4 linked regions of the Pelodiscus sinensis genome follow. The protein of the gene in region 2 purifies or fractionates together with the protein of the main gene of each other region. This does not show direct contact. Links are inferred from orthologs where the notes say so. Each region holds a gene or a part of one and is shown on either strand. Other genes may lie near its edges.

Region 1 (6,868 bases), on a different chromosome or scaffold from region 2:
CCTCAGCTCCTAGGGCAGGGGTGGGCAAGATACAGCCCGTGGGCCGGACCCAGCCCGCCAAGCCTTTTAATCCAGCCCACGGCCCACCCTGCCAGGACCCTCAGGCACGGAGCAGCTCCACGCCACTCAAAGTGGCTCTCTATGTCCACTGGCTCCCCAGCCTCCTCCCACACCATGAACCAACCCCTCATTTCTGGCCCCAACCTGGAGCCTGCAACCCAAGCCAGAGCCTTCATTTCCTCCCACCCTCCAACCAGGGATGCAAAACCCCAGTTAGTCAGTTCACCATTTAACCAATTAAGCATCATCCGGGCAGGCCCCCTGCGGGGCTGGAGCAGACCCCTGCCCACAGCAGATGAGGAATTGCTCCAGCCCCCACCAATAAACTGGAACCGGTCAGTATCACCCAGTATGGGTAATGCTTACTGGTTAAGCTTTCACATTCCTAACCAGGGATGTGAAATTACACTGAATCAACTAGTCAATGGAATTTCCACCAACTAGCCGATAAGCGGGGGAAACTGCAGAACTGCAGCTAGCTTAGCTCCCAGCCCCAGGAGCAGAAGGGCAATGCGGGGAAGGGACCAGGTGAGAGCCAGGAGAGCGGATTCCCAGCTCACAACTGGTTCCTCTTGCTGCACTTCAGCCTTTTAAGAGCCTGCATGTAAGGCTATGCTTATCGGCTAGTCGCCTACATAGCTATCCCTAACTCCAACCCTCTGCCCAGTGAAAATGAGCAAGGGACAGGTAAAAACTGTTAAACACTAGCCATGTAACGCAGGGGTTCTCAAACTTTGTGCTACTGCGACCCCCCCCCCCCCCCCCAAGTTGCTTGCGACCCCCCGGGGGGTCAGGACCCACAGTTTGAGAATCGCGGGTGTAACCAATTACAATTTCATCAGTTACAGGGGCTCAGCCAGCCCTGCAGGAGTTTAACCATTAACTGGAAGCGATAAGCATCAGCTCATGCCTCAACCTCTCACATTCCTAGTGGGAGATGGAGTGAGTGGGGTGCCAGGCCTGGGAGAAGAGGCCATGCTGGGGCAGAGCCTCAAGGAAAAGGCAGAGCAGGGGTGTTTGGTTTTGTACTACAAGTGGAGCCTTTCTAGTCTGGCACCCTTGGGACTTGACTGGTGCAGAATCAGAGAATTTGCCCAATCATGGGAGGTCAATATTGTCTAGCAGGATTACCAACACTCCCACCGCTTCCTGGGCTCAGGGTCAATTAGAGCTAATCAACAACAGCACAGAACACTAAGAGCCAGACCTGGTGGCTGTAAACAAACTTTATAGGACTGTAGGAAACTCATCCACTTACCAAGGGTGTGGCCATCTGGTTCACTAGAATCCTAGAACTGGAAGGGACCTGGAGAGGTCATGGACTCCAGTCCTCTGCCCTCATGGAAGGATCAAGCACTAAAATCATGCCAGACCGCACATGCTGCCGGACCAGAGAGGTTCAACCTTTCTGGCAGCAGGTAGCGAAGGCCAATGAAGGCTAAGCATTCCCTAACCGAGGCCATGGGCCTACTCATGCTCTGTCCTGAGGCCCCTTCCTCACTGCCCCTAAAGCCAATGGGGGCTCAGCTCCAGCTGGCCAGCGGTTGAATCACAGGGCAGGGATGCTCTGGCCAGTGCTCAGGCCAAAAGTGGGGGGTGCCCGGGGCTCCTCCAGCTGAAGGAGGGCACTCAGAGCTTGGGGGGGAGGGGGGCACGTCCTCAGAAAGTTTGTTTCTGGGTAAGAGAGAAACGGCTCCCTGCTCCCCCCAATGACTGCAAACCCATCGCCCCTGGACACTGGACAGTGACTAATAACAAAAGCAAAACGACAGCATCGTTTCCTGGCCTGGCGACGAGACCCACGCAGCATCTATACTGGCCTCGGAAAGAAAGGCGATGCCCATCATCCCAAGCTGCTCTTAGGCCTTGTGAGGTGGGCCCCAGGCAGCGCGAGCCACACGGAGCTTTACAAGCACCAGCCATAAAGTTTCTCCAAGAAAAGACACCGCAGCAGCTTTCCCCCCACCCACTGCAGGTACCAGGGAGCAGCATCAGCTCCTAACCAGAGCGAGTCCGTGACACAAGGAAGGGTGCTCAGCAGCTGGGCCAAGCTTTTCAATCCAACCCCTAGGCAGATGCTAGGCAATGGGGACAGAGCAGAGCCCGGCTGGCCGGCTCAGTTTCCCTCGACCTCCATCGCCATCAGCTCTGGAGCAAGAGGCTGCCCGAAGGAAACCAGGAGCCAGCATCACAAGGGAGCTTAGCCTCCACGGCAGCACCCAGCCAGGGCCACTGACGCCAGGCGAGGGGCTGGGGAGAGCCTGTATCCCAGCCAGGCTGATGCAAGACAAGATGGATGTGCGAGAGGGGCCGGGTTCCGGCTGCCACTTTCAGTTTCCTCATTCTAGGGCTTGTCAATCTGGCTCTAGCGCTGCCACCGGCCTCGCTCCTCAGGGCCCCAGCAGCGTGAGAGAGATGCCAGAGCCCGGCAGGCAGCACCCATGGGACCCGCTGCCCCAACTCTAGGCTCCTAGCAGCCTTGTCCAGCACCCATGGGTGCAGATGCCCCACAGCCCAGCCCTGCCCTGCCCTGCACCCATGGGACCTGCTGCCCCCCCCCCCGTGGCACGACACTGCCCCCACTGGAGCAGCACCCATGGGCAGGCACCCCTGGGTGCAGCTGTCCCCCCCAGCCCAGCACCCATGGGCTCAAATGTCCCCTCCCTCCCAGCCCCAGCCCCCGCCCCCAGGGAGCAGCTTGCTCCCCAGCACCCACGGGTGCGGCACCTTCACGCACTCATGCCACAGGCGCCCCCCGCTTTGCCTGCAGCCCCAGGGCCCCTGCTCACCCGCGGGGACGGGGCTCCCAGGCTCCGGCTGCCTGGGGCGCTCGGCCTCCTGCTCCCACCGCGGCAGTCCAGAAACCTGCTGCCCCCTCGGCCTCGGCCCCGCCCCCATTGCATACGTCACGGAGCCGCTGGCCAATGGCGCGCCGCCTTTGCTCATTATTCACGGGGGGCGTAACCTCTCGGCCAATCGGCACCTCCCGTCTCTGACTTGATTAATTATTTAGGATTGGCGGGGGGGGGAGGGTGCCCCTAGTTGGCTGTTCCGGCGCGAAGCTTCCCCTCCCACCGCAGGGCCGAGCCGAGGGACACGGGAGCCCGGAAGCCTCGCGGGGGGAGCGGCAAGTGCCGGGAATGTCCATGCGGGAAACTCAGCTGAGTTCCGGGCAGCGCCTGACGTCAGCACGGCGGGGCTGCCGCTGGCCCCGCCTCTTAAAGGGCGAATGGCCGCTATGGGGGGGGGGGGGTAATCTGGGGACAGGCTGTTTACGGGGTATGGGGGGGCGGCACTGGGGGAGAGGTACTTGGGGGGCTGAGCCTGGGGGGCACATGGGGAGGGGTACTTGGGGGGGTTGAACCTGGGGGGCACATGGGGAGGGGTACTTGGGGGGCTGAGCCTGGGGGGCACATGGGGAGGGGTACTTGGGGGGCTGAGCCTGGGGGGCACATGGGGAGGGGTACTTGGGGGGGTTGAACCTGGGGGGGCACATGGGGAGAGGTACTTGGGGGGCTGAGCCTGGGGGGCACATGGGGAGGGGTACTTGGGGGGCTGAGCCTGGGGGGCACATGGGGAGGGGTACTTGGGGGGCTGAGCCTGGGGGGGGCACATGGGGAGGGGTACTTGGGGGGCTGAGCCTGGGGGGGGCACATGGGGAGGGGTACTTGGGGGGCTGAGCCTGGGGGGCACATGGGGAGGGATACTTGGGGGGCTGAGCCTGGGGGGGGCACATGGGGAGGGGTACTTGGGGGGCTGAGCCTGGGGGGCACATGGGGAGAGGTACTTGGGGGGGCTGAGCCTGGGGGGCACATGGGGAGAGGTACTTGGGGGGGCTGAGCCTGGGGGGGGCACATGGGGAGGGGTACTTGGGGGGCTGAGCCTGGGGGGCACATGGGGAGGGGTACTTGGGGGGCTGAGCCTGGGGGGGGCACATGGGGAGGGGTACTTGGGGGGCTGAATCTGGGGGGCACATGGGGAGGGGTACTTGGGGGGCTGAATCTGGGGGGGCACATGGGGAGGGGTACTTGGGGGGCTGAGCCTGGGGGGCACATGGGGAGGGGTACTTGGGGGGCTGAGCCTGGGGGGGGCACATGGGGAGGGGTACTTGGGGGGCTGAGCCTGGGGGGCACATGGGGAGGGGTACTTGGGGGGCTGAATCTGGGGGGGCACATGGGGAGGGGTACTTGGGGGGCTGAGCCTGGGGGGCACATGGGCAGGGGTACTTGGGGGGGTTGAACCTGGGGGGACACATGAGTAGGGGTACTTGGGGGCTGAACCTAGGAGGGCACATGGGAGGATACTGGGGAGGCTGATCTTGGGAGAAGGGGCACATTGTGGTGGGGACACACGGGAACTGGGCCTGAGGAGGGTGAGACTGGAGGGCAGGGGCCTGGTGGGGGAGTACAGAGTGGGGGAATGAGTAGTCCTCAGTTTCCACAAGGAGGCTGAAACCCTGAGTCCTCCCCAATGGGACCGGATTCCTTGGCTCCTGGACATCAGCATTACTCCCAACTTGGCCCCCGTGAAATCGGGGCAGCCTTGTGTGACCTGACCTCCCTGAGAGCTGCCAGCCTCCCCTTATTTCCTCATCTCTGTACAGCAAGCCTGGGAGTTGCTGAGTGCTGCAAAAAGCAGCAGGAAATCCTCCTGGGGAAGGGAGCCCTGCTAAGTGTCCTTAACAATACTGATGGTGATAATGAGGGAGGAAGGGCGGGGTGGCGGTGCTAAGGAAACAGCCCCCTTTTTTCAGAAATCCAATGTTAATGGCACCTCAGCCTGCCAGTTTAGGACAGGAAGTGAAGGGAGTGGGAATTTTAGGGAGGCAGAAATAGGCCACATAATCCCTGCAGTTTGTTTCTGCTCCGTGTGTCTGTGCCTTGGATGGGTGTTTGTGTGGCACATCTGGGGGGCTGCATGAGGCATGTCTGCGGCATGACCTACGGCCCCTTCTCCCTTCCGGCTGCTAGCGGTGGGGAGGGATGCACCATCTGACTAGTCTGTCTGGCTGATCACTTCACTACTCAGGGCTTTGGCCACTCTAAGCCTGCTACAGGGGATTCCTTTCCTGCCCGAGCTGCACCAGCTTGGTCCGGGACACACAGGACCTTCCAGCACTAGAATCCCTGCCTCTTGCACTGGAGCAGTGCTTGGGGGATGGGCCAGGAGGAAGTTCTCACTCCCAGAACCGGTCAGTACAAGACCAGAGGCTTCTCGCTCTCTCATTGTCCTTCAGGGGCCTGAGGAAACTGAACCCTCACCAGTGTCCGCCCTGCTTCAGAAGAGCCAGAGATGTTAAGTCCCCAATGGACCGTTGTGTCCTAATCTGGCTTCCTGCACAATTTAGGCGAGATAACCCTGCAGCCAGCCCATATCTTATGACTGAGCTAGCGCGTGTGTTTTAGGAGACCCCAATCTTGATTGCTGTGGAGTAATTTCGCATGAGGATGTGGTCAGCTTCCCTCCTGGCCCGTCCTCTGAAACCAAGGTGCAGCGATGGTTGTTGAGGTGCCTAACACTGGTGCCTATAACAGACAAGCTCTAAGGGGCATGTGATGTCAAAACCTGAATGGTAGCGTGTCACTGCCGGGTGGGGAGTCACCAGGCCCTGCACCCACATCTCAGCCAGCCAGTAGAACAGAATATTTATTCGTTCACAGGGTTACAATGTAGAAGTGACTAGAAGCTCAGGATCTAGAAGCATCTTGGGGAGCAGGGGCCCAGAGCCAGGGCCTTAGGCCCCCCCTCCCTATATCCTAAGCCAGCCGAGACTCATTCACACACTCAGCAACCAGTCCCAGCCCTGCAGGCAGCCCCGCCTCCTCCTTTGTCAAGTTTCCTGGACAAAAGGTGTCACCTGGTTGCGCGCGCGCGCGCGCACACACACACACACACACACCCCTTCCCAGGCTCATTTACCAAAAGCCTCAGCCATTGTGTATGTGCTGGGGACTACTGGGGCAGCCTCCCTCTTTGAGAATCACACCCAAACTTCCCATCCCCATTTAGCTATTGGTGCAGTGCCCAGGGAAACTGAGGCACGCACACAGGGTTACCACAGGACAGTAGAAATCACATGCAACAGGCCAGAGAGAATGCCAGCCCCGCTTTGTCACATGGTGTCCTTTGGGGCACCCAAACCACAGACACCTATCAAGATTTGAGACTCAGTTCCAACCGAGCCAGTCACGGCATTGAAATCTCTGAGCACGAGCAGCGCGGCATGAGGCGGAGCGGCCTGGGTGTTTGCTACTAGCTGGCTGTACAGTGCTTCTGTTTCCACAGGCGATGCGGCATCTGTCAGTGCGTAGGCCCAGGTGGCAGATAAGTGTCTGTGACAACGCTGGACAGAGAATTTCACCCCCACGTGCTGAGGCTCCAAGATGCTGCCCATACTATGGGGTTGAACATCTCATGGTAGAAGACCAAGGTCCAGAACCGTGGTGCCCCAGGCCTCCCTGGGCAGATGGGGTTGAGAATTCTGGGGCGCCCTGATGGTTCACAGGCAGCCAGCAGTGTTCAAACAGCCACAGCCAACGGGGGCGTTCGTCTGTGAACAGGTTTCGCCGCCTCCTGCACGAAGTCCGTGTCTCGCCTGTGGATGCCAAGCCGCCTGTGTGCTGAGCGAGTTTGGAATCTCTCCCACCTGTGTCCTGTCCGCGACGCTGTACCGGTCTCAAACCAGGGCCCTTTCCCTGGCTACCCCAGCAGCACAAGATGGTTTGTCTTTGTGCAAAAGGGCCCAGTCTTTCAACCATCGGGCCTTCCTTCCATCACTCAGCGTGCCCGAAACTGCACTGCAGGCTCC
Region 2 (8,006 bases):
CGCTCCCGCCTGCTGCTCCGCTCCCGCCGGGCGGCCACTCACAGCGGCGGGCGCGGGAGCAGCGAGGCAGCGTCTGCCCGGCTCGGAGCCCTGCGCCAGCCGGACCGGGGGGGGGGGGGCGTGTCCGGAGCCCTGCGCCAGCCGGACCTTGGGGGGGGGGGGGGGGCCGTGTCCGGAGCCCTGCGCCAGCCGGACGGGGGGGGGGGGGTGTCCAGAGTCCTGCGCCAGCCGGACCGGGGGGGGGGCCGCGTCCGGAGCCCTGCGCCAGCCGGACCGGGGGGGGGGGGGGGCCGTGGCCGGAGCCCTGCGCCAGCCGGACCGGGGGGGGGGCCGTGTCCGGAGCCCTGCGCCAGCCGGACCGGGGGGGGGGGGGCCGTGGCCGGAGCCCTGCGCCAGCCGGACCGGGGGGGGGGCCGCGTCCGGAGCCCTGCGCCAGCCGGACCGGGGGGGGGGGGGGGCCGTGTCCGGAGCCCTGCGCCAGCCGGACCGGGGGGGGGGGGGCCGTGTCCGGAGCCCTGCGCCAGCCGGACCGGGGGGGGGGGCCGTGTCCGGAGCCCTGCGCCAGCCGGACCGGGGGGGGGGGGCCGCGTCCGGAGCCCTGCGCCAGCCGGACCGGGGGGGAGGGGAGAGGGGAGGCTCTGCCTGGGTTTCAGCGTCCGTCGTGGCCGCCAGTCCCGGTCCTGTCCCGGAAGCCCGGTCCAGCAGCCGCCTCTCGCCCTCCTGCCATGCCGGGGCAGCGTCTGGTACCTGAGCCTCCTGCCGCCGCTCATCGGTCCTTTCTCCTCACCTGTCGCCTAGCAACCCAGCATCCCTGCCACGGGCTGCGGCCGGAGCATCCTTCTGTGCCCGGCCCGGCCTCGCGCCCCCTCTCTGGACCCCCGCAAAGCCCTGGCGCTGCGGGAGGGGAGAATCGGGGAGCCCCGCGGGACAAGCCAGCAGCGGCGGGCGGGAGAGGCACGAAGGAGGCAGGTGCGGCGCCAGCGTTTGCAGGCTGCTCACGGCGCGGGGGGGCGGGGATCAGGGAACAAGAGCGGGCGCCTCCGTTTCCAACTCCCCCCTCCGCCCCCCTCCGCCTCCCCCGCCCGTGCCCGGCGGGCGCCAGGCGCAGTAGAGGGACGAAGCGGCAGCCGAGCTACCGAGAGGGCCCCTGCTGGGAGGGAAGGGGGCCGAGTCCTCTGCGCTGGGGGGCAGTGAATAGCAGCAGGCTCCAGCAGGGGTGAGAGCCGGGCTCTGGTGGCACCAGTGTGCTTGGCTGGTGCTGGCTGAGATTTCACAAGGGTCTACTGACAAACCCAACTTCTCCTGGCTCCCTTGCAGCCGGGCCTTATGCCAGCCCGGCCCGGCCCAGCCCAGCCCAGCCCAGCCCGGCACAGCTCAGCACAGCCCTGCCGGGCCCAGCCCAGCCCAGCCCAGCCCGGCACAGCTCAGCACAGCCCAGCCCGGCACAGCTCAGCACAGCCCTGCCGGGCCCAGCCCAGCACAGCACAGCCCAGCCCGGCACAGCTCAGCACAGCCCTGCCGGGCCCAGCCCAGCACAGCTCAGCCCAGCCCAGCCCAGCCCAGCCCAGCACAGCACAGCACAAGCACAAGCACAAGCACAAGCACAAGCACGGCACGGCCCGGCACGGCCCGGCCCAGCACAGCACAGCACAGCACAGCACAGCACAAGCACGGCCCGGCACAGCACAGCACAGCACAGCACAGCACAAGCACGGCCCGGCCCGGCCCGGCCCGGCCCGGCCCAGCACAGCACAGCACAGCACAAGCACAAGCACAAGCCCGGCCCGGCCCGGCCCGGCCCGGCCCAGCACAGCACAGCACAGCACAGCACAAGCACAAGCACAAGCACGGCACGGCCCGGCACGGCCCGGCCCAGCCCAGCACAGCACAGCACAGCACAGCTCAGCCCGGCCCAGCCTCTTGCTAGTCAGGGCAAGTGCAGCCCCAGACTGGCCCAGCTGGCGGGGCAGCAGAGTGTGGTACTGCTGGTCACCATGCTCTCCTGTCCCATCCCCCCAGGCAGGGCGGGGGGAGGGGGGATCCTGAAGCAGCTCTGGACACTTCCTCTCGGAAGGTCCCGCAAGGTCGCCCTGCCCCAAAGCCCTGAGTGCAGAGGCCTCCTGGCAGCTCACCCCCTCCCCCTCCCTGGTATTTAATAGGGGATAAGAACCCATCAGGAGAGCTGGTGAGACCACCCAGGTGCATGGCAGCTGCTCAGGGGCACCCAGCTCTGTGTCCTGCCCAGGCAGTGGCCGGGTGAGCAGCAGCTGGCTAGAGCCCAGAGCAGGGCCAAGGGAAAAGCACTGGAAGCCCAGGGCCGAGCGGCCGGCCAGCAGCAGGGCGACTGGGGCGTGTTCTGTAACTAGCTTGCACCAAGCAATGTGACCTCCCGCCACAGCGCAGGGGCCTTACCACGAAGCCCCAGCCCGTCCCCTAGACGCAAGCGGGACTGTGTGACAAAGATTCTACACATGCAGGTTCAGTTCAGTCCCCAGTCAGTCCCCTGGCTCAGTCTGTAGCCTCGCTCTCCCAGCAAAGCCGTGCTGGTCCAGAGCGGCTTTCTGAAGGGTGACTCGCTGGGAGTTACTGAGAGGTGAGAGCCGGTGAAATACCTGTGCAAGTGAGTCTCAGTCTCCCATTCTCAAGTGGTAGCAGAGACATAGCGATCTGCCAGTTCCTTTGCATCGTTGCAATGAACAAGACTTATGCCCTTTGTGGTTAAAGTTCTTCATTTGCATTACCCAGGGCTTCTTTCTCCCTGGCTGGGGATTTAGTGGCAGGGCTGCATGCAGGGTCCGTGTTTGCTCTTGCACCGTAATGGGAGACGGATACGTGACAGCAAAGCAGGCAGCATCCATGCCGTTCCAGGAGGGTTAAATGCCCCAGACCTTCTCCCATACGAACAAGCACTTTGAGCTGCGTTGGCCTTGTGTCCAGCCAGGCATTTGTAAGCGTCCAGTGAGGCCTGGGACTTGGGCATGAGCTGCCACCTGGTCTGCCAGTGCCACCCCAGCCTCCTTTCCAATGCTTCGTGCTGCCAGAGGCATCAGTGCCATTTGGCCCCTTTAACGCTGTTAATACCCCAACACCACAAAGGCAAAAGTGCCGACTCCCATATGCAACGGAGCGGCCAATTGCCCCCATCCGAGCAGGCACAGACCTGGCTGTCAGCCCAGGAATTCAGGACCTCTGGGCTTGGGGACTGTGGCTCATTTGACTGAGGAATGAAACCTCTCACCCTGAAATGTTCCAGCTAGTCTAGTCCACAGCGGCGCAGCCTGCCAGGGTATATCTGCCCAGCACTCCACTCCGCACTGGCTGCCTAGGGACACTGAGGGCAGCGTTGGATTTCTGCTGCCATGGTCAAAGCCCTCCATGCCCTGGCTGCCTGAGAACCTCTGCCTCACAGCTGAGACCTCCCTCAACAGCTGCATTCTAGCCAAGCAGGGCTGTGAGTCAGGGGTGCCTCAGAGGGATGGGGCCTTCACAGGCGCTGGGCCTCTGGCTTATTGCCCAAAGTGACGAAAATGACCAGAGGCTGCGCTGCACTTTGCTTCTCACGCAGTCACTGGTCACACGCGGCAAACACCCTGCCCAGCCCACAGCAGTGCGAACGCCCTGACTGACACCCTTCCTGCCCCAGCCACACCCAGGCAGGAACTCGGCTGGGGAAGATGCCTGCCAGTGCCAGGGACTGACAGGGATGTGCAGGCCGAGGGCTGGGGGACAGCCAGGCTCTGGGGTCATCAGCAATAAGGCCTGGATGTGTGGGAGCAACAGAGCTTGTCTGGCCGTGTTCAAATGTGCAGTTGTAGCTGTGTCAGTCTCAGGGATTGGAGACACTGTACTGGATCATCTTCTATTGGCGAGAGAGGCACGCTTCCAAGCCACGCGCAACTAGGCCGCTGACGGGGCAAAGGGGCAGCTGCCCCAGGGCCAGGCCATTCAAAGGGGCCTGGAGCCCCTGCCCATGGCCACTGCTGAACTGGAACGATGTGGGCTGGGAGATGGGCCATGGGGCAGAGTGGAGCAGGTTGCTCTGACTCTTGCTGCTGCGAGTGCGGGGTTGGGACGGGGACCACTGCTGGGGTGTTGTGCCCTGCCCCCCCCAGGTAATCCCAACAGCTGCCCTAGGCCTTGCAGGTCCCATTCATAGGATGGTTCAGGTGGCTGCCACTGGGGCCCCCAACGCACAGGGTCTGGGGGCAGCCGCCCCATACCATCCTATGGATAAGATGAGTCTGCCTAGAACAGTTCCCGTTCCCTTCAGACCCACATAAGAAGAAAAGATTGTGGTGGGGAGATTTTGTCAGCAAATTGCTACATTTTGGCTAGCTCCTCTCCAGAAAGGCACGTTCCTGAAACTGACTCTTAATTCATAAGACAGCAGCTGCCTCAGTAGTCTGTCGTAGGGCTGTCCGATAGCTTTTTTGGGACAATCCTTTCTATTGCGATGAGAATTCCGTTAAAAGCATTTGCGGAAAATCATGCCAGTCTAGCTGTAGCCATCACGTCTAGGCTGGGCTGTGCCCTGGAGAAGCAATAAACCCTCTGTTCTTGCTGCTGCGGGGCTGCAGGGCCGGGAACCTCAGCTCCCCCTCACAGCACTATTAAAGACTGGCCCACTTATTTCTGTGGCTGTGCCTTGGGGAGGGCTCAGCTTCCTGCCCCCAGGCCCCTGAGCTGCCAACTTCCCACGTGCTCTGAGCCCTGCCCCCTGCCCCTCCCCTGGCCGGTCAATACAGGGCGTGCAGGGGCAGCGCCTCGCCCCTCCAGCTCCCACGAGGAGGCGGCTCGGCGCTGCCTCTGGCCAATGGGCACTGCGGGGCGGTGCTGGGGGCGGAGCCTGGCACGGACAGCCCCGCCCACTTCCTCCTTCCCCTGTTCAGTGGCGTTCAGCGGAGAGCAGGGCGCCAGGCCGGGAGCTCGCGCGAGCTGCGCGCGCAGCGACTCCCCCTGCAGCGGGCGGGGCCGGGCGCAGCCGCGCGCCAGGAGCCTGCCGGACCCCGCCCCCGGCCAACCCGCGCAGCCGCAGCGCCGGGCGAGCGAGCTCGTGCGAGCGCCGGGGGCGGGGCGGGGCGGCGCGGTGACGTGCCCGGTTGTGGGCGGGGCGCGGAGCGGGGCGGCGGGTGCTGGCGGCGCCGCGCCATGGCTAAGACCGTGGCCTACTTCTACGACCCGGACGTGGGCAACTTCCACTACGGTGCGGGGGCGGGGCCTGTGTGGGGGGCGGGGCCTGCAGGGGGCGCTGGGCCTGTGGGGGGGTCGGGGGGGCGGGGCCTGTGGGGGGGTCGGGGGGGCTGGGCCTGCGGGGGGCGCTGGGCCTGTGGGGGGGTCGGGGGGGCGGGGCCTGTTGGGGGGGTCGGGGGGGGGCGGGGCCTGCGGGGGGCGCTGGGCCTGTTGGGGGGTCGGGGGGGGCTGGGCCTGCAGGGGGCGCTGGGCCTGTGGGGGGGTCGGGGGGGCTGGGCCTGTTGGGGGGGTCGGGGGGGGGCGGGGCCTGTGGGGGGGTCGGGGGGGCTGGGCCTGCGGGGGGCGCTGGGCCTGTTGGGGGGGTCGGGGGGGGCTGGGCCTGCAGGGGGCGCTGGGCCTGTGGGGGGGTCGGGGGGGCTGGGCCTGCGGGGGGCGCTGGGCCTGTGGGGGGGTCGGGGGGGGCTGGGCCTGGTGGGGGGGTCGGGGGGGCTGGGCCTGCAGGGGGCGCTGGGCCTGTGGGGGGGTCGGGGGGCGCTGGGCCTGTTGGGGGGGTCGGGGGGGCTGGGCCTGCAAGGGGGGCTGGGCCTGTGGGGGAGTCGGGGGGTCTGGGCCTGTTGGGGGGGTCGGGGGGGCTGGGCCTGCAGGGGGCACTGGGCCTGTTGGGGGGGTCGGGGGGGCTGGGCCTGCAGGGGGCACTGGGCCTGTGGGGGGGTCGGGGGGGCTGGGCCTGCAAGGGGGGCTGGGCCTGTGGGGGAGTCGGGAGGTCTGGGCCTATTGGGGGTGTCGGGGGGGCTGGGCCTGCAAGGGGGGCTGGGCCTGTGGGGGAGTCGGGGGCTGGGCCTGTGGGCAGGGGAGTGGGGTGTCTGGCTGCAATCCAGTGTATGATCTGTGGGTGCTGATCGCCTCTATTGTTTCCAGGCGCAGGGCACCCCATGAAGCCTCATCGCCTGGCACTGACCCACAGTCTGGTGCTTCACTATGGGCTCTACAAGAAGATGATTGTAAGCATTGCTTGTCAGGTATTGGGGTTGGTGTCCTGGAAAGCCCTCCACATGGTTCAAATGTAACTATGTTAAAACGCGGCTATGAAATATGCTCGTCCCCATTTTATAATATGTCTTATTCTTGCTGACGAAAGTCATTTCGCCATATTAGGCTAGAACAGTGGTCCCCAACCTTTTGGGGCTGCCAGGTGCCCGGGGGCAGGGCTACTCAGGCGCTGGGCACCTGGCAGCAGGGTCACACACGCACCCAGGGGCGGAGCTGTGCACGTGCCTGGTGCTGGTGCCACCCATGCGCTGCACTCCCGGGGCCGGCGCCGCTCCCGTGCTGCACGCCCAGAGGCCGGCACCGCCCTTGTGCCATGCACCTGGGGGCAGGGCTGCCCAAACTCTCCGCACCTGGGGCCGGCGCTGCTCATGTGCCGCATGCCCACGCATGGGGCCGCCCAAACACCGTGTGCCCGGGGCCGGCACAGCCCTTGCACCGCACACCCGGGGGCAGGGCCACCCAAACACTGTGCACCTGGGGACGGGGTCGCTCATGTGCTGCGCGCCCGGGGCCGACGCTGCCCATACGCCGTGTGCCCAGGGGGCTGGCACCGCCCATGCACCCGGGGGTGGGGGCGGGGCTGGTCCCATTCACTCGGCGGCTGCACAGAAATTGCCCGGCAAGCGCCATGGCGCCCGTGGGCACCGCGCTGGGGACCACTGGCATGACTCTCTATTTGCTGGGGATGCTTTAAGTCAGTGGTTCTCAACTTTTCCAGAATTCTGTGTTCTTTTTAGGAGTTTGGTTTCTTGTCTGTATTTCAAGTTTCACTTCACTTAAAAATACATGCTTATAAAACGAGGTATAAAAATGCAAAAGTGTCACAGTGCACTATTACTGCAACATTTCTGACTTTCTCATTTTTGCCAAATAATTGCAAAATATATTGATTGAAATGTTTCTGCGATATTCCAGTGTGGTAGTTGAGCCTCTTTTTCACTTGTGAGCCTTATTCTTTTGGTTGACAGTGAAGTGACAGCAAGTTAGAGGTTTTTCTCCACATTGTGTCTCGGTGGCAGTCATAGCAGAAAATGAGACTGTTCAAAGATATGCCGACCTGAAAGATAACAGACCTCCCAAAGCATGATTCCCACAGTTAATGTACTCTTTTTCTGCATTGAACACCAGAACTAGGTTAGTGTAGAATCATTATATTTGCAGACTATGGCCTGAGGGAAAACTGAAGAATATAATCTTGCTGTCCAGCAGAGAGGTTACTGCTGCTAACATTTGGCAAGATGAACAAGGTTTCTTACCCAGTTGCGTTGAGCTGAGTTGTGCTGAATGTTGGAGAAATCATTTTGCTCAGCTCAGTTTCCCCTATTTAGGCCTCCGTGATATATTAATAAAACACTGAAAAACAGGTAAAGTCTTTGACTTGACATTTGGACTTCCAGAATTTAGTTTTCTTGATAAAAGCATTCACTTTATCGTAAAGATTCAGATTGTTGGTGTCATGGCCTTTCATGGACAAATTGTAATCATTCAGCTTGCTAGATATGTCTGCAAGGTAGGCAAGTTGTACTAACCACAGGATGTTGTCAAACACAGAAACAAACAGGGATGAATGATCAGAGAAAAACTTATTAAATGGGTATAATTCAAAGCATCCATCAAGTACTTTGCCTTTTGAAAGCCAGTGAACCTCAGTGTGAAGCAACAATTCCTTATGATCTGACCCCTTCTCTTGACAAAGAATGCAAAACAGCTGAGCATGGAATGGCATGGATTTGATAAAATTGACAGTTCTGACATACTCGTTTAAA
Region 3 (7,129 bases), on a different chromosome or scaffold from region 2:
TGTGAAAAAGCTACTTCTGAGCAAGTAAATTACACCAACCTAATGGACAGCACTATTGCTCTCCCGCTGACAGTTACTCTGGATTGGGGAGGAGGAGTAATTATGCTAACAGGGAGCTCCCTTCCACTGGCATAGACTAGCATTTGAACTAGCAATGCTATAGCAGTTGTTACCTCAATTCAGCTGCACTGTTGTAGTGATTCTAGTGTAGACTAGCCCTCAGATAGTGAGACACCCACCTCTGCTCTCCATTGTAGTGGCAACTTTTCCACCTATATTATTCAGAACAGGTAGCTATAACCCCGGGACATTTTTCTCACTGAGCTCCAATCTTGTGAGTAAACAGTCCCAGTGTCCCTTCAATCTGCCATAAAAACATTCACCTGCATCTGTCATTTTGCACTTACACTGAGCAGGTGGATCTTTTCTTGGAGCTGTTGATGTGTCCAGCACAAGGTTTCATAAGCCAGGGGACCAAGGGATAGTTGTGGATCACCCCAGTCACTGCTGGCATTTCTATGCAGAGGCTGGGAAAGAACATCCCTGCTTCCAGATTTCTGAACAGATGTGTTCCTAAAGTTGCAAAAATCATACACTTTTTCTGGCCAGCCAATAATGATATCACTGAAGTGTCTCCAGCAACCTACCAGTGCTTGCATTTCCCTGGAAAAATAACCTGTTCCGTAACAAGGGCTGATGCCAAAATGATTGTATGCATATCCCTAATTATCCCACTGCAGCTTGGGAACCCTGTTGCTACAATCTATCCAGTAGGTCTTGCACATTACCAGAAGTCACAGTCCTGCGTAGCAGGAGACAATTAATGGACCTTTATACCTGGAAAAGTCACAAAGGTGGTTTTTTTTTTTTTTTAAATAGACTTTCAGTATGTTTTCTAGAAAGAACGAAAACAGAGCTACGTTGGGATATAAAGGTAATTACTGGGTAAGCATGAGCTTTACTAGAATGCTTACTGGGTGCAGTGTGGAGCTGGCTACAGTCTGGTTGGGCCCACCGCATCACACCAGGAGCGGGGGAGCCTCATGAGGATTAATTGGTTAAACAGCATTTAACCAGTTAACTTTTTAAACAGTAAGTAATAGCCCTAGTTGGCAGTCAAAATTAAGTTTCCTTACAGATACACTTTAGCCAGTAGTACATAACTCCAGAGAATTCTCTATGCAGTGATGTTAAGTGTCACACTAATCCCTTCAAAGAACTTTTACTCTGTTACCTTCAATGATACAATCATCAGGGTGCAGTATTTACAAAGGGAATCAGTTACTTCATGTAAAAACAGGTTTTGTTGATGTTCTTAGGCTGCTTTTTATAATTTTTCTTCCTTGGAATGTCATCTTGTGTTTGTATTTAAAATTATCCCACCTTGAAAGCTTATGATACCATCTACATGTTTTGTTAGTCTTTAAAGTGCTACCAAACTATTAGTTGTTTTTTAAGTTTTTCATAATGTGATAATTAAGTTACTCATGATACCATATATCAGTTATAGTCTTAGGTGTCAATGTATGTTTCATCTGCCACCTTTAATAGAACTAATGTTTAAGTATTTTCCATGTGAAGTGAGGAATCTTGATTAAGTAGTTCTAAAGAATTTAGCAAGAGTATAACATACATTTTGCTTCATAGTAAACAAAGAACAAGAGCAGAATAGAAAGTACTGAACTTCAATAAGCATTGGTTGAGTTCTTCTCATTTTATTGACTAATTGGTTAAACATATTGCCCCCCTTCTTTCATCCACCAAAAGCAGGAGCTGCTCTAGCAGTCCCTTTCACCACCACAGCAGACTGCCTGCGGTGGACCATGGTACCCCACAGGGAGGGGCCGCTTTGGCATCTTGGTCAAAAGAGCCCCTGCCTGCAGGGCAACCTAGCTTGCCATGGAACTGCTCTGGCTGGGATGCTGGAGCAGCCCGACTGCAGCAGGCCAGAGCACCTCACAGGCAGTGACTGCTCCAGCATCCTAATCGGAACAGCTCCTGTCTGCAAAGGTACCAAGGCTCACCAAGGGCAGAGGCTGGTCCAGCAAGGATGCCAGAGTCTCTACCTGCGGCGGGCTCTCTGTGGGGTTGGAGCTGCTCCAGCCCCCACCAGCTTACCTTAACTGCGGTAAATCTCATCCATTAAGGTTGAGGCTTATGGGTTAACCAGTTAAACCTTCACCTCCCTAATGCATGTCACCAGAAGTATTATGTGCCACAGCTGTTTGTACATTAAAAGACTAATTGACCTACATTTTCAGAGGCAATTAGTGATTTGGGGATATCAGTTTAATCATCTTAAAGGAACTTGATTTTATGAGGGCAAACAGTGAAATGTCTTTTACAGAGTTTCAAGTTAGCCATCCCATCATCAATAGTTACTTGTGAAAATATATACAACTTGTATTTAGACACTTGTGTAGTTTTTACTCTTATTTGGATATATACTTTCTAAGCAGCATCTTCAACTCCTCTGAATCAAATCCACATCTATAGCTCTACCTTTCATAAAGTGCACCAAAATGACAAAGTATGTTACAACTGAAAGGCATCACTTTTATGTTGCTAAGGTTGCTTGCACAAGAAGTTATTTGGTGCTCAAATCGTGGTGATGGTGATGGTGATTCAAATACCACTTGAAAAATAAAACTGTTTTAGAATACATGTGGTAAAAATTTATACTTTTATAGGAAGATTAAATACTTTTTAAAGCACATTAAAAGATTCAAACTTCCTTTCTCCCATTAAGAATTAATAATATTTCATAACACAAACTCCTACCTACAGTATTTCCTCAGCAGCATTTGAATAGCCTTTACTACCTGGCATATTGATTCTGGGAACCGTATATCTTATGTAAATACTTACTTAAAATGAATTGTAAACAAACATTCACATATATGCTACTGCAAATCAGGAATGTGGGGTTCAGTGTTCCTAATTAGATAAGGTGACCATATTCCCTCCCCCCCCCCCCAAGGGAAAATGGCCACTGCATTAAGGACATGAAAGTTTAACTGGCCAGGCCTAGGCAGGGAGGGCCACTTCAGCCCAGCAAGGCTGGAGCAGTGCCCCACTCCCCTTTAATCAGTTAACACGTTAAACAAAGTTTAACAGGTTAGCCAATGAAATGGGATTTTACATCCCTACATGTCACAGGTGTGAGCCAAGGTTCCTTCCCATAGCTGCCCCAAGGCCTCTTTCCCTAATGTGCAGGATTGGCCTCAGTCCCTATGCCTTGCGCGTGTGGAACCGATTTCAGGCCACCCCCCACACCCCACCTGCATGTGGGGCAAGCCCAAGTCCCCTCCTCTATCCCCTGTGCATTCAGCCAGCCCAAGACTCTCAGCCACTTGGGGCCGGATTCAAACCCCACTTGCTCCTCCACCCCATTCTCCCTCCCACCTAACACTGTCCTGCTAGGGGTCGCAGCCCGAATTTTTGGCAAACCTGTGCCTTTGTCCAGTTTGCGCTTGTCCACTGACGCTCAGGAAAGGAGGAAACGGACAAATCTACAGAAAAAGTCGGGGCAGGGCATTAAAAAAAAAAAAGATTGCCCTGCCCCAGCGGCTCATATGGTCACTCTATAATTAGCCTGCGTTTCCCCCTCAATGCCTCCTCCCTCCCGACTCTTTGTCAGCGAACTGCTTCTTGAAGAGCGTCGCACTCCCCGCGTGGCCAGTTTCAGCCACCAGAGAGCAGGAGACGGCTGTCCCAACGCTCCCATTCAGAATCGAGCGCTAAGAGGCCATGGATTGCCTGCGCTGTGGGCCGCGGGCGAGGCTCTGTAGCCGCTGCCCTGCGCTGCACGGGGCGGCACCGCCCAGCCTCAAAGGGCTGCTGGGTCAACGGACTCTAAACGGCTGAGACACGCTACGGTGATGGGGCCGTAGACGTACGCGAGGAGAAGGGCGGGGAGGGGCTCCCTCTGAGACACACAGTGGGGTGCCCGGCCCTTCCGCCGCTGCCCTTGGAGCCAGCCACAGACGCGCCCACTAGCCCTGCTCGCTCCCAGCGAACGCGAAGACAGAAGCTCTTGCTCCTAATAGGCACCATCCGGCGACAGGGCCCTACGCGCGCCTAGGAATCTCGTGCCGGTCGCAGGCCAAGAAGACCCCCCCCTTCTCCCTCCCTCGCCCCGCGCTTTCTCGGGGCCTCACTACCCGCTCTACGCAACCGCGCGCCCTTCTCAACGCACCGTCGTAAAAGCTTCTCTCGAACGCCTACGTCATTCCAAGCGCCCAGCCAATCATCGGTGGGTAAAAACTGCGCCCGCGGGTCGGGAGTTGTGGGCGGGCATCGTTTTTGAGCGACAGCTAAGCGCGGCCAGTCAACGAGGGCTGCCGCGCCGCCACCTCCCCCCTCTGCGGGCAAATCGCTGCTAGAGAAGAGGCAGGGCCTCCTACCCACCCCCCCCTCTCGGCAGCGCACAGACGGACGGTCCTCTTGTCCAATGAGAGGCGAGGCCGCCTGCGCAGCGGCTGTGTTCGGAGCCAATGGGAGCAGCAGCTGGGCGGAGGCCTGAGGTTTCCAAACGCTTCGCGGCGCCATGGGCTGAAAACTAAACCGAGATGGAATCTCCCAGTCTGAACCGGTTTGAGCCGGTTCCGAGTCTGTGGCACTAGGAGGGGGAGAAACGCTGCGCTCACTCCCTGCCGCCGCTGCTGCCTCCGCCGCTGTGTGTGTGACCTGCTCACAGGGGAGCCCGCAGGGGGAGCCGCCGACACACCCGCCGGGGCAAAGTTTAGTGCGAGCGGGGGGGGAATGGGGGTGTACTGAGACCCGGCCAGATCAAGGGGAGAAGCAGGGGCCCGGGCAACCAGAGACTCAGCCAGAGGAGCCCGGGGCCTGGGGAGTGACAGACCCGGGGCCCACCAAAGCAGCGGGGCTGGGAAGCTCGGGACTCAAGGAGCCCCAGGAAAGCAGATAGCCGGGCCTGGGGAACCAGAGCCAAGCCGCCGGGAAGGGAGGGGCTCCATCCCCTGCGCTGGGCGGCCTAGGCCCGGGAGCAGGTAGTTGGGGGCCGAGTCCTTGTAGGGGGAGCCAGGGGCAGCAGGGAGCGAGTGAGCCTGGCCAGGGGTTAGCAGCAGCCCGCGCTGAGCGAGTCATACAAGCAGCCCAGTGCACGCTTGGCTTGGAGGCGGTGGGGGGGAGAAGGGTGACACCAATAAACGCTCAGTCGGGGAGAGGGCGCGCGCGTGTGATTTCTCCTCAATTTTTTTTTGGTGTGGTTGGAAACTTCACTCCCCCCGCCCGCATTTTTTAAAGGCCGAGGCTGTAATAACTATTTAGGTAAGTAACTCTTATGGGGTGAAAATCTTGGGGTGCGGGGTTGGATGTATTTGGGGGGGGGAAGTGGGAGGGTTAAAAGGGATTCTCAGCAGGAGGGTGGGTGTGTGGAGGGCAGAAAGTCGCGGGTAGGCAAGGCACAATGGGTGTAAGACTTAGGGCGGGAGACGCGTGGTCTTCGGGCTACAAACATCAGACGTGTCGGCTTTGCAATTGACTAGAGAGCAAATTCTACCACTGATGCTATGGGTGTGGGGAAAGAAGGAGCGTGGTGTGGGGAGGTTGCTGTGAAGGCTTGTGGGGGTGGGGTAGATGGTGGTCATTTTGTGCTTTTGATTATATGTGAAGTGTGGGGCTGGAGCCAGTGTTGGGAACTCGAGAAATTAGGGGCATAATCTGTAAATTATTAGGAGTGGAAGTTTCCAGAAATATTTTTGTGTGTCTGTGCAGCAGTATTGAAACGTCCGCCTGGATCACGTGGGGTGGCCCTGTATACAACGCAGGGACCGAGAGGAGGGAGGGGCTGCAGTGTCCCTACTGCTCTCCGCAAAGAAACCTAACAAACCTCCTTCTGTTCCTAAACCCGGATCTCTTTCTCCCTCCCGTCCGACAGATACTTTAGTAATGACTGTCAGAAAAACTGATTGGCGCGTAGTTGTGTGTTTTTAATAGTATAACGTTCCGTGTACTGCAGTATTCTGACTGGTTTGCAAGGGAAGTCAGTTAAGGCCTTTACACAGAGTAGGTGTGCATCTGTATGTTCACATGCAGTATTTGTGTACATCAGATATCTTGTTGATAACAATTCGAATGTATTTGCATTTATTTGGATATATATTCTTTAATGTGACAAGTCTGCTGCTTAGGAAAGAAATGTAGCTGAAGTTCTGCTACCTATTATTGCTATACACACACATACGGGGAAAGGAAACAAGCTCTTTCATTAGTGTGTGGAACTGCGGCATTAACTTTAATATAAATGCCCACTAAATTTTATATGTCTAAATTGATGTATAATGCATGTGCTGTGCAGGTCTAATCGTGCTTAGGCTGTGGGAATAGGAAAAAAAGGAAACTTTAAATTGCCTGATATAAATAATCCTGATAGCTTTAAAGAGTGTGGTGGGATGCCGATTTTTACTTCCATTGTAGTTAGAAGTGGAGCTGTTCACTAGCTGAGTTGGGCGGGGTTAACTGTATGTTTCGGGTGGCTACTTCTATACTTAAATGAATCGTGCTGCTGCTGCCCCCGCACAGCCTGAAGTAGTTGTTGAGTTGTATTTGACCTAGAGTTTAATTTGAATGTTTTTAAGCTTTTTTTTTTTACTTTGTTGTGTGGATGTTCTAATTCACTGAGCACAGCTCATTTTAAAATTGCTGTTCTGATGTGTTTATGGAATGGTAATCGGTATGCTCGTTATAAGCATTTTTGCACTTCATGCACAAGGCCACTGTAACCTCAGGTAGCTCTGTAAACAAGTCTCCATTCTTCTGGGTTTTGGCAAGTGTAAGATCCTTCCCTTATTTATTAATTGTGATACTATTTAGTTTTCATTTTTCAGTTTTATACACTAGCAGTTGGAAGCAGTTTTAGGTGCAAGCTGAGGTATGGATCGGGGTGAGTGTCTGTCTAGCAGATCACATACAATACTATAGGCTTGATCTGGGCACATTATTAGGAATAGGCAATCAAGTTAATCGCAGTTGGCATTGACCACAAAGCCGCCATTTTTATATTTCAATTCACCAATAGGTAAGTCATTTTGGAGATAATGCTGGGAGTGGCAAAGCACTCTATTAGAAGTGTTTCCTTTCTGCTTTCATGCGGCTAATAACTTTT
Region 4 (7,739 bases), on a different chromosome or scaffold from region 2:
ACTCACTTCCTCATATCAAATAGTGGAAGAAAATTGGCGTGACCATATATACCAAAGGATACAATCAAAAAAATGAACACATATGAAAAGGACAAATCAAATTTCAGAACAGAAGGGGGTAAGGGGAGGAGGTAAATGTCTGTGAGCTAATGATACTAGAGGTGATAATTGGGGAAGCTATTTTTGTTATGGGTAAGATAATTAGCATCCTTGTTAAGACCTAGGTGTAACGTGTCAAATTTAATCATGAAGGATTCTCTGAATTTGACACTTAGGTCTTAACAAGGATGCTAATTATCTTACCGGTTACAAAGATGGCTTCCCCAATTATCACCTCTAATATCATTAGCTCACAGACACTTACCTCCCCCCCCCATCCTCCTTCTGTTCTGAAATTTGATTTGTCCTTTTCATATGTGTTCATTTTTTTGATTGTATCCTTTGGTATATATGGTCATGCCAATTTTCTTCCACTATTTGATCTGAGGAAGTGGATCTGGCCCACGAAAGCTCATCACCTAATAAACCATCTTGTTAGTCTTTAAAGTGCTATATAGTACTGTTTTTGTTTCAGCTAGACCAGACTAACACAGCTACATTTCTATTACTATTCTTAAAAATACCCTTTCCTATCTCTTTGTTTTCTGTTTGCTCTGTTCTATCTTCATGCGCCTATCTTTTGCTAGAGCCCATTCCCATTTTCCTCCTTTCAATACTAATATTTTATGCACCAGTGTGTTTCTAGTTGGCTGTTGCCTATGGTTAACACTTCTCATTGTCAAATATCTGTCTGGTGCTATCAGTGGTACCCACTCACAGCGACTGCAATAAGGCCTACTGAGGGAGGCTTCTTCCACCTAATTTCATTAAAATGCCCTAAATCCAGCTGACAATTTTTCCCTTCAGTTGAATGGCCAATTATGGGAAATGGGATAATATACTCTGAAAGTGATTTAAATTAATTTCTGAAGTTTCAGAGGAGTAGCGGCGTTAGTCTGTAACAGGAAAAACTTCAAAAACAACAAATAGTTTAGCAGCACTTTATAGACTAACAAAACGTATTGTAGATGGTATCATGCGCTTTGTGGGCACAGCCCACTTCTTCAGATTATCAGAGTTAATTTCTGAGTTGGTGTAGAATAATACTGTGGCTAGCTAAGAAGTAACAATAGTTACCACCATACAGAACAGGGTCGATTTTGAGGGGGCCTGGCACCTGTACACATATAACAGACCCTGCCGCCTCCTTAAAATACCACAAAGGTGCGGGACCATCTCCATCCACTGCTGGTCAACCTGGGCTTGAGACACCGGGGGAAGGACGCACAATTCTAGCCAGTTACAGTGCACGCAGCTGGGACCGCATGGCTCATCGACTGGCTGTAAGCGCCGGTAAATCTCTGACTGGAATAGTTACGAGCCCGGATCTGAGGCTGTAACTGCAGCGACCTGCAGTGCGCGAGCTCTAAAACCACTTCCGCCCCCCCCCCCCTTCCCGACTCCAGTGCAGGCACGGATGTTGTGATCACATGACTGTCAGGGAGGTGGACAGGCCTCGGTTTATTGGTCGGGGTAAGATCACGTGGAAGGCAGAGGGTGAAGGGGTGCGAGACAGCTGCGATGATTGGCGGTACTGAGATTGGGGTGTAGTCACGTGAAGTGGAGGTTGCTGGCTTGGGACAAATAAACATGGAGGCCATCTTCCACGAGAGGGTGAGAGGGCTGTGGGGGAGGGGGTACTTTTGGTTGAGCGGGGGGCGGGAGCGGTGAGGGCGGAGCTGACAGCCTAGGTTGGACGGGGGGATAGGAGGGTATTTCAGAGAATTGGGTAGCAGCTGATGATTGGGCTGGGCTGGAGGAGAAGAGGAAGGGTGGGGTGGGGTGAGAGGTCCTACAGTCCTTCGTAGGGAGGGGAGTTAGTCAGTGGCAGTGCCTGGGGCGAAGGAATGAGGGGGGGGGGTTGCAGCCCATGGCTGGATGCGGAGGCTGATGAATTTCTTCTATCCCGTGGAAGACTTGGAGCAGGGTAGTACTTGAAGCTGTCTTTTTAACGCTTCCCAAAGCGACTACCTGACTCCATTGCCTTATCCACATTGATCTTGATGTTATATTGCCTTCTTCTATAACTTAGTGCTGATGAGGTTCCTCTCGAGTGGAAGGGGAAAGCCAGGTAAAATGACAGTTCAACCAGCTACACCTTAGAAGAAATCTAGGTACCTTTCAAAGGTGGTTACAAGCAGTGTCCATACTACTCCTTTTTATATAGTTTGTTTGCCATGGTGAGGTTTTATTTCTAGAACCTTTTAAAAAGTACAGAAAAAATAGTATTGTGCAGAATGAAGTTTTTACTCTCTTGAGACTGAAGAATGGCTTAAAATGAGAAATGCTTATAAAGATGAGCAGTGGGAGATGTGGGTTTTATTTGTGACTTCTGGCACCATCTTGCTGTGCCTCTGTTCATAGCAACCTCTCTCTGCCTCAGTTTCTGCATGTACAGAGTGGGGATTATGAAACCTGTTTCAAAGTAGGTGTTGTGAAGACTTTTATTTAATGTTAGTACTGTGTTTCTGAAGATGTAAAGCACCATATGAGTGCTAAATATTTTGTTTCCAATGGCAAATACTTCTGCTATTCATGATTGCCTTCAGAGTCCTAAACAGTAACTTCCATACCATTGCATTCCCATGTCTTGCTTATGTCTTGTGTACTTTAATCATTACCAATAACAAGTTTTTCATACTATAATTCTTAATAAACTTCCTTTTGTAAATGTAGGTTGCTCTAGTTACTGAGAGATACAGTAACTAAATCAAACCAAACTAGTTCCTATCTGAGTTAAATGCCCCTTCCAAAGAAGGCAACCTAAAAAACCACAACTTCTTTTGTTTTTAAAATAAGTTCCTATGGAAAGATGGCTTCACAGACTTGGAATGAAAAAAGTAATTCTGCTGAAACTAGATTAATAGGTAGAGTAGTATTAATAAGATCAAAGTTGCACAGGAATTGCTATTGTTTAAGTAGTGTAAGGTGCAATTATTTTACATCAGTGTGCAGTACAAGAAACGTGTATACATTTATGAAAACATTTGCTATTTGACAATGTAGTAATCCAGATTACTGAGGTGGAATTAAAACATCTATATATAAAAACAAAGTTTCCAGCGGGATGACAGAGTGATGTCGTCTGTCACTTTGACTCCCCCAGCCTCTCTCACCCCCGGGCTCTGTGGAGTCATCTGTCACATGGAAAAGTGGAGCTATAGGGAGCTGGGGGTGGGTGCTGTCTAGCCTGTGGCCACTCAAGCTTCTTTGGAGCAGGCAGTGGTGGAGCTGAGCTGGGGAGTAGGCAGCTATGAAGCAGGGTGGCCTAACTCCATGTGTGGCAGCCACTTCACAGCCTCCCTTTGCCCACTTGGTCCTGGGTGCCTTGGGTCACAGCCAGGAGCCACTTGAGAAGAATAGAGGCAGAGATGTCTGTGTCCCTGATGTGTGCCCTTGCCTGTGGGTTGCTGGTGGAGGAAGTGGGGGTGGATTGGCTCTCTGCATCCTCCTGCCAACAGGATACCTAGCTCAGTCCTACAGTGCATGGGGCATGCCAGGTTCCTTTGTCACTGACTGCATGGAAATGCTCCCAAGGGGCGCAGAGGTGAGGGGTTCCCCCACCCACTGAACACCTCCCCCCACACTGGGGCCTTCACCCACACCCCACCCCTGCCAGCTTCATGAGGCATAAGTTGGGGGCTTAGCTCTCTCTCCCCACCATGCTGCCCCCATTGGGCCTTTGTCCCCTCCCCCGCCCCAGACTCCATGCCACATGGGCTGGTGGTTTACCCCCTCCCTCACATGCTGCCGCCCCACCCAAAGGACTCCATATGGCTCAAGTTGGAAGGCTAATTCCCTTGCCCCCTGAGGGGTCACACAGGGACAGCCCAGCAGTGTTTGGAGCAACTGCCAAGCCAATGGTGCTGTTTTCTTGCTGGTTAGGTTTCCCATTTGTGGGAGAGGCAGAGCGTGTGGAGGGAGGGAGGAAGGGGGATAGGGTGATGTGGTAAAGGAGGATGGGGGTGAAGGGGGATATAGGAATGGAGGCAGGGGGATGGGCAGTGTAGGGGTATGGAAGGGGAGGGGTTAGAGAAGGATGGGAGGGTAGGGATAGGCAGGGGGGGAGAGGGGCTAGGGACAATGGTTGTAAGAATGGAGCCAAGGGGGTGAGGATAGGGATGGATGAAGGTGATGGGGAGGTTGAGAGGTTTGGGAGGATGGTGGGTATATGAATGGAGGCAGGGGTATGGGGGTAATAATGGAAGGGGGGGTGGACTGTGGGCCATGGAGCTCCAGGCCCCAGTTCCCTCCCCTCCCCTTCCCATCCCATAACAGCACATGCGCTTCCCCAGAAGCCAAATCCAGTGTGGAACCTGTGGCCGGGGGTGGAGATCCAAAAGGCTAGGGCTGACATGGCCCCATCCCTCACTGGCAGGAGAGCCAGGTCTGCTTACCCCCAGAGACAGGGGGGTTGGTGAGCATAGCAAGCAGGGGGCACTGTCCCATAGTCTAGTTAAATATCTGAAGCAATAAGCAACATATTCTATTCTGTTGTGACATCTGTTTTCATAGATTTTAAAGACAGAAGGGACCATTGTGATCATCTAGTGAGCCTGACCTCCCATGTAGGTGGAACTTCCTCCAAAATAATTCCTGGAATTTATCTATTAGAAAAACATCCAATCTTGATTTAAAAATTGACAGTAATGGAGAATCTACCACCACCCATGGTGAATTGTTCCAGTGGGTAATTACTTTCTGCATTAAAATGTATGCTTTATTTTCAGTCTGCACTTGTCAAGCTTCCACTTCCAGTCATTGGGTCATGTCTACCTTTGTCTACTAGACAGATGAGCCCATTATTAGTTGTTTGTTCCTTATGTAGGTACTTATAGACTGTGAGCATGGCCCCCCTTAACCATTTCTTTGTTAAGATAAAAAGATCACACTCCTTGAGTGTGTTGCTGTAAGGCAGGGCTTTGGAGGACCCCGGGGCTGCAATGATTCTCAAAGCATATGCCAAGGGCTGCAACTTCAGTGTGGTTGCATGGACATGCAGATAGCTTCTTTCACGTTGAGGGGCATGAATACAAAAATTAAGGCAAGACTACTCAACACACAGACCCCATTTAAGTCAGTTCTGCTGATATTAATAAAATGCAATATTTACCTAGTTTCCATCTATATGACAGCACTTTTAATGAGTAATGACAATCCAGGAATTTGATTACTAAAACACATATCAGCAGAAGACCATTATATTGACTACTTTTTTGTTTTGGCTCCCACCTGCAGGCCGCCTGTTGAGCCCTGCATAAATCCAAACCTCATCACGGACCACAAACAAACGGGCTGTGGGCCAAGTAGCCCTGCTGTAAGGCATGTTTTCTAATCCTTTGCTTATTCTCGTGGCTCTTTGGATAACCCACTTCTTGAATTGTGAACATCAGAACTGGAAACAATATCATAGCTGCAGTTGTGCCAGTACCAAAACCAGAGGCAAGAAAAACTTCTCTACTCTTACTTGAGAGTCCTTTGTTTATGGCCCCCAGGATTGTGTTAGCTCTTTTGGCCACAGCATTACATTGGAAGCTCATGTCTCGCTGACTGTCTACCACGGCATCCAAACCTTTTTTCAAAGTCACTGCTGTGCAGGATAGTGTACACCATCCTGAAAGTATGGCATACATTCTTTGTTCCCAGATGTATGTATTTACATATGGCAATATGGAAATGCATATTGATTGCTTGTGGCCAGTTTACCAAGGGAACTCAATTGCTCTGAGTCAGTGATCTGTCCCGTTCATTATTTACCATTAGGAGATTTACCTGGTATCGTTGGATCCTTAACTCAATTAATTTTTGCATTTCTTCTTTTAAATCAGGGGTTCCCAAACTTTTTGACACGGGGACCAGTAAATCTATTCATGAGCTTTTGGAGGACTGGTAACGTTCATTTGCATATTCAATAAGCAAAAGATGAATATTCAGATAAGTTGTTTCTGGTCCTCCCAAAGCCCCCAGTGCCAGCGTTAGCAAAGCTTTTGATACAGTCACTCACAATATTCTTGCCAGCAAGTTAAGGAAATATGGATTGGATAAATGGACTGTAAGATGGATAGAAAGCTAGCTAGACCAGGGTTTCCCAAACTTTTTACTTTAGTTGGAATCTGTTTTTTTTCAGTATTGTCTTTTGAAGTCCAAAAATATAAACGCATATTAAAAAAAAAGAATGAAAAATGAATAAATTTTCAGTGTTTCACCCGGCTACATTCTCCACCCAGCCTGGGCCAGGGCTTGGGGGACCCAGCGCCACATGAGCACTTCAGGAGGCGGGAGCACAGGCAGATTGGGGGTAGGGTATCTGGCTAGGAAGGAGGGTGGAAGGAAGGGTAGGGTTGCCAGGTGTCTGGTTTTGTACTGGACAGTCCGGTATTTGAAGGTTTTGTCTGGGAAAGAAATTACCAGACATATAAAATGCCTGGTATTTTCTAATTAGGTACATTTTATTATAATTAGGTGTATTATTCCTTAGCTGCCTGGCTGGTAGATGTGCTTACGCAGTCTGAGTGTGTCTACCTGCCAGGCAGTTCGCAACTACTCCAGGGAGGGTATGTGGGGGAGAGGGGGCAAAATGGAATCTCCGGCCAGACTCACTCATCTGCCAGGGTCTGCAGGGTCTGCATGTGCGCAGGTCAGTCCCGCTTCCCCCCTTTCTCTTCCCGATCTCCCCAGTCCAGCCCTCCTGCCCCTGTCCAGCCCTGCTTCCAGCAGCCGGTTCACCCACCACCTACCAATCTCCCCCGGTCAGCCCTGCTCCCCTGATGACCCCCCTTCTCCCCCACACCAGCCCCACTACCCCCGTCCAGCCCTGCTTCTGGCAGTTGATTCTCCCGTCCTCCTCCTCCTGATCTCCCCCGGCCAGCTCCCCCTATCCCCCGTGCAGCCCTGGTTCCGCCACCTGCCCTCTCTGATCTCCGCCACCGGATAGCCCCGCTGCCCCCAACCCTGCTTCCGCCGCCCACCCACATGCCCGGATCTCCACGGGACAGCCCCACTCCCTCAGTCCTGCTTTCGCTGCCCGCATTTCCGCGGGACAGACCTGCTGCTTCCAGCCCTGCTTTGGCCGCCCACCCACCTGCCTGTTCAGATCTCCACCAGGACAGCCCCGCTGCCGCCAGCCCTGCTTTTGCCACCTGCCTGCCCGCCTGGATCTCTGTGGGACAGCCCCGCCGCTCCCAGCCCTGCTTTGGCCACCCGCTTGCCTGCCCACCTGCCCGGATCTCCACCGGGACAGCCCCGCTGCCCCCAGCACTGCTTCCCAGCGGCTGGTTCCTCCCTCCTTCCTCCCAGCCCACCACGCTCTGCTCCTCTCCCGGCAGCCATGCTGAGGCCTGGTATTTTTTTCCCGCAGCTCGGTACTGGGCCGCGACCCATAGTTTGGGAAACGCTGTTTTAAATTATTACCTGGGGGTACAGTATGCAGGCTTCCCTGGGGAAAGAACTGCTCTCGTGCAGCAGCTTAGGGCCAGGTGAGAAGTCCTTCTCTATGGTTGTTACCCTCCACCTACTGGAGCTGCATCAGCTCCAGGGGGGTGGATGTCCCCTGGCTGCAGCTGGTCCAGGCACATCTGCACTCCATAGCCAGATTGAGGAATGGAGCAAACTGCACTTTCCACTTGTTACCTGGGAAAAAC

What was found.
Region 1: the proteins of HDAC3 (region 2) and STAT3 purify together in Homo sapiens (affinity purification with western blotting; 4 studies listed by BioGRID). This does not show direct contact. The link is inferred for Pelodiscus sinensis from reciprocal best matches to the Homo sapiens genes HDAC3 and STAT3.
Region 3: the proteins of HDAC3 (region 2) and XPO1 purify together in Homo sapiens (affinity purification with western blotting; 3 studies listed by BioGRID, with this or other methods). This does not show direct contact. The link is inferred for Pelodiscus sinensis from reciprocal best matches to the Homo sapiens genes HDAC3 and XPO1.
Region 4: the proteins of HDAC3 (region 2) and ATXN3 purify together in Homo sapiens (affinity purification with western blotting; 3 studies listed by BioGRID). This does not show direct contact. The link is inferred for Pelodiscus sinensis from reciprocal best matches to the Homo sapiens genes HDAC3 and ATXN3.

What each region holds. Positions count from the first base shown.
Region 1 is NC_134739.1:9,061,889-9,068,756, reverse strand, and holds the start of STAT3 (signal transducer and activator of transcription 3), read right to left. Parts: upstream 3,002-6,868; 5' UTR 2,850-3,001; intron 1-2,849. UniProt on the Homo sapiens protein: Signal transducer and transcription activator that mediates cellular responses to interleukins, KITLG/SCF, LEP and other growth factors. Once activated, recruits coactivators, such as NCOA1 or MED1, to the promoter region of the target gene.
Region 2 is NC_134727.1:1,035,192-1,043,197, forward strand, and holds the start of HDAC3 (histone deacetylase 3), read left to right. Parts: upstream 1-5,001; 5' UTR 5,002-5,148; coding exon 5,149-5,203; intron 5,204-6,108; coding exon 6,109-6,191; intron 6,192-8,006. UniProt on the Homo sapiens protein: Histone deacetylase that catalyzes the deacetylation of lysine residues on the N-terminal part of the core histones (H2A, H2B, H3 and H4), and some other non-histone substrates.
Region 3 is NC_134713.1:180,629,461-180,636,589, reverse strand, and holds the start of XPO1 (exportin-1), read left to right. Parts: upstream 1-4,121; 5' UTR 4,122-4,255; intron 4,256-4,517; exon of another isoform or gene 4,518-5,292; intron 5,293-7,129. UniProt on the Homo sapiens protein: Mediates the nuclear export of cellular proteins (cargos) bearing a leucine-rich nuclear export signal (NES) and of RNAs.
Region 4 is NC_134714.1:30,853,126-30,860,864, forward strand, and holds the start of ATXN3 (ataxin-3), read left to right. Parts: upstream 1-4,733; 5' UTR 4,734-4,748; coding exon 4,749-4,789; intron 4,790-5,337; coding exon 5,338-5,416; exon of another isoform or gene 5,417-5,541; intron 5,542-7,739. UniProt on the Homo sapiens protein: Deubiquitinating enzyme involved in protein homeostasis maintenance, transcription, cytoskeleton regulation, myogenesis and degradation of misfolded chaperone substrates.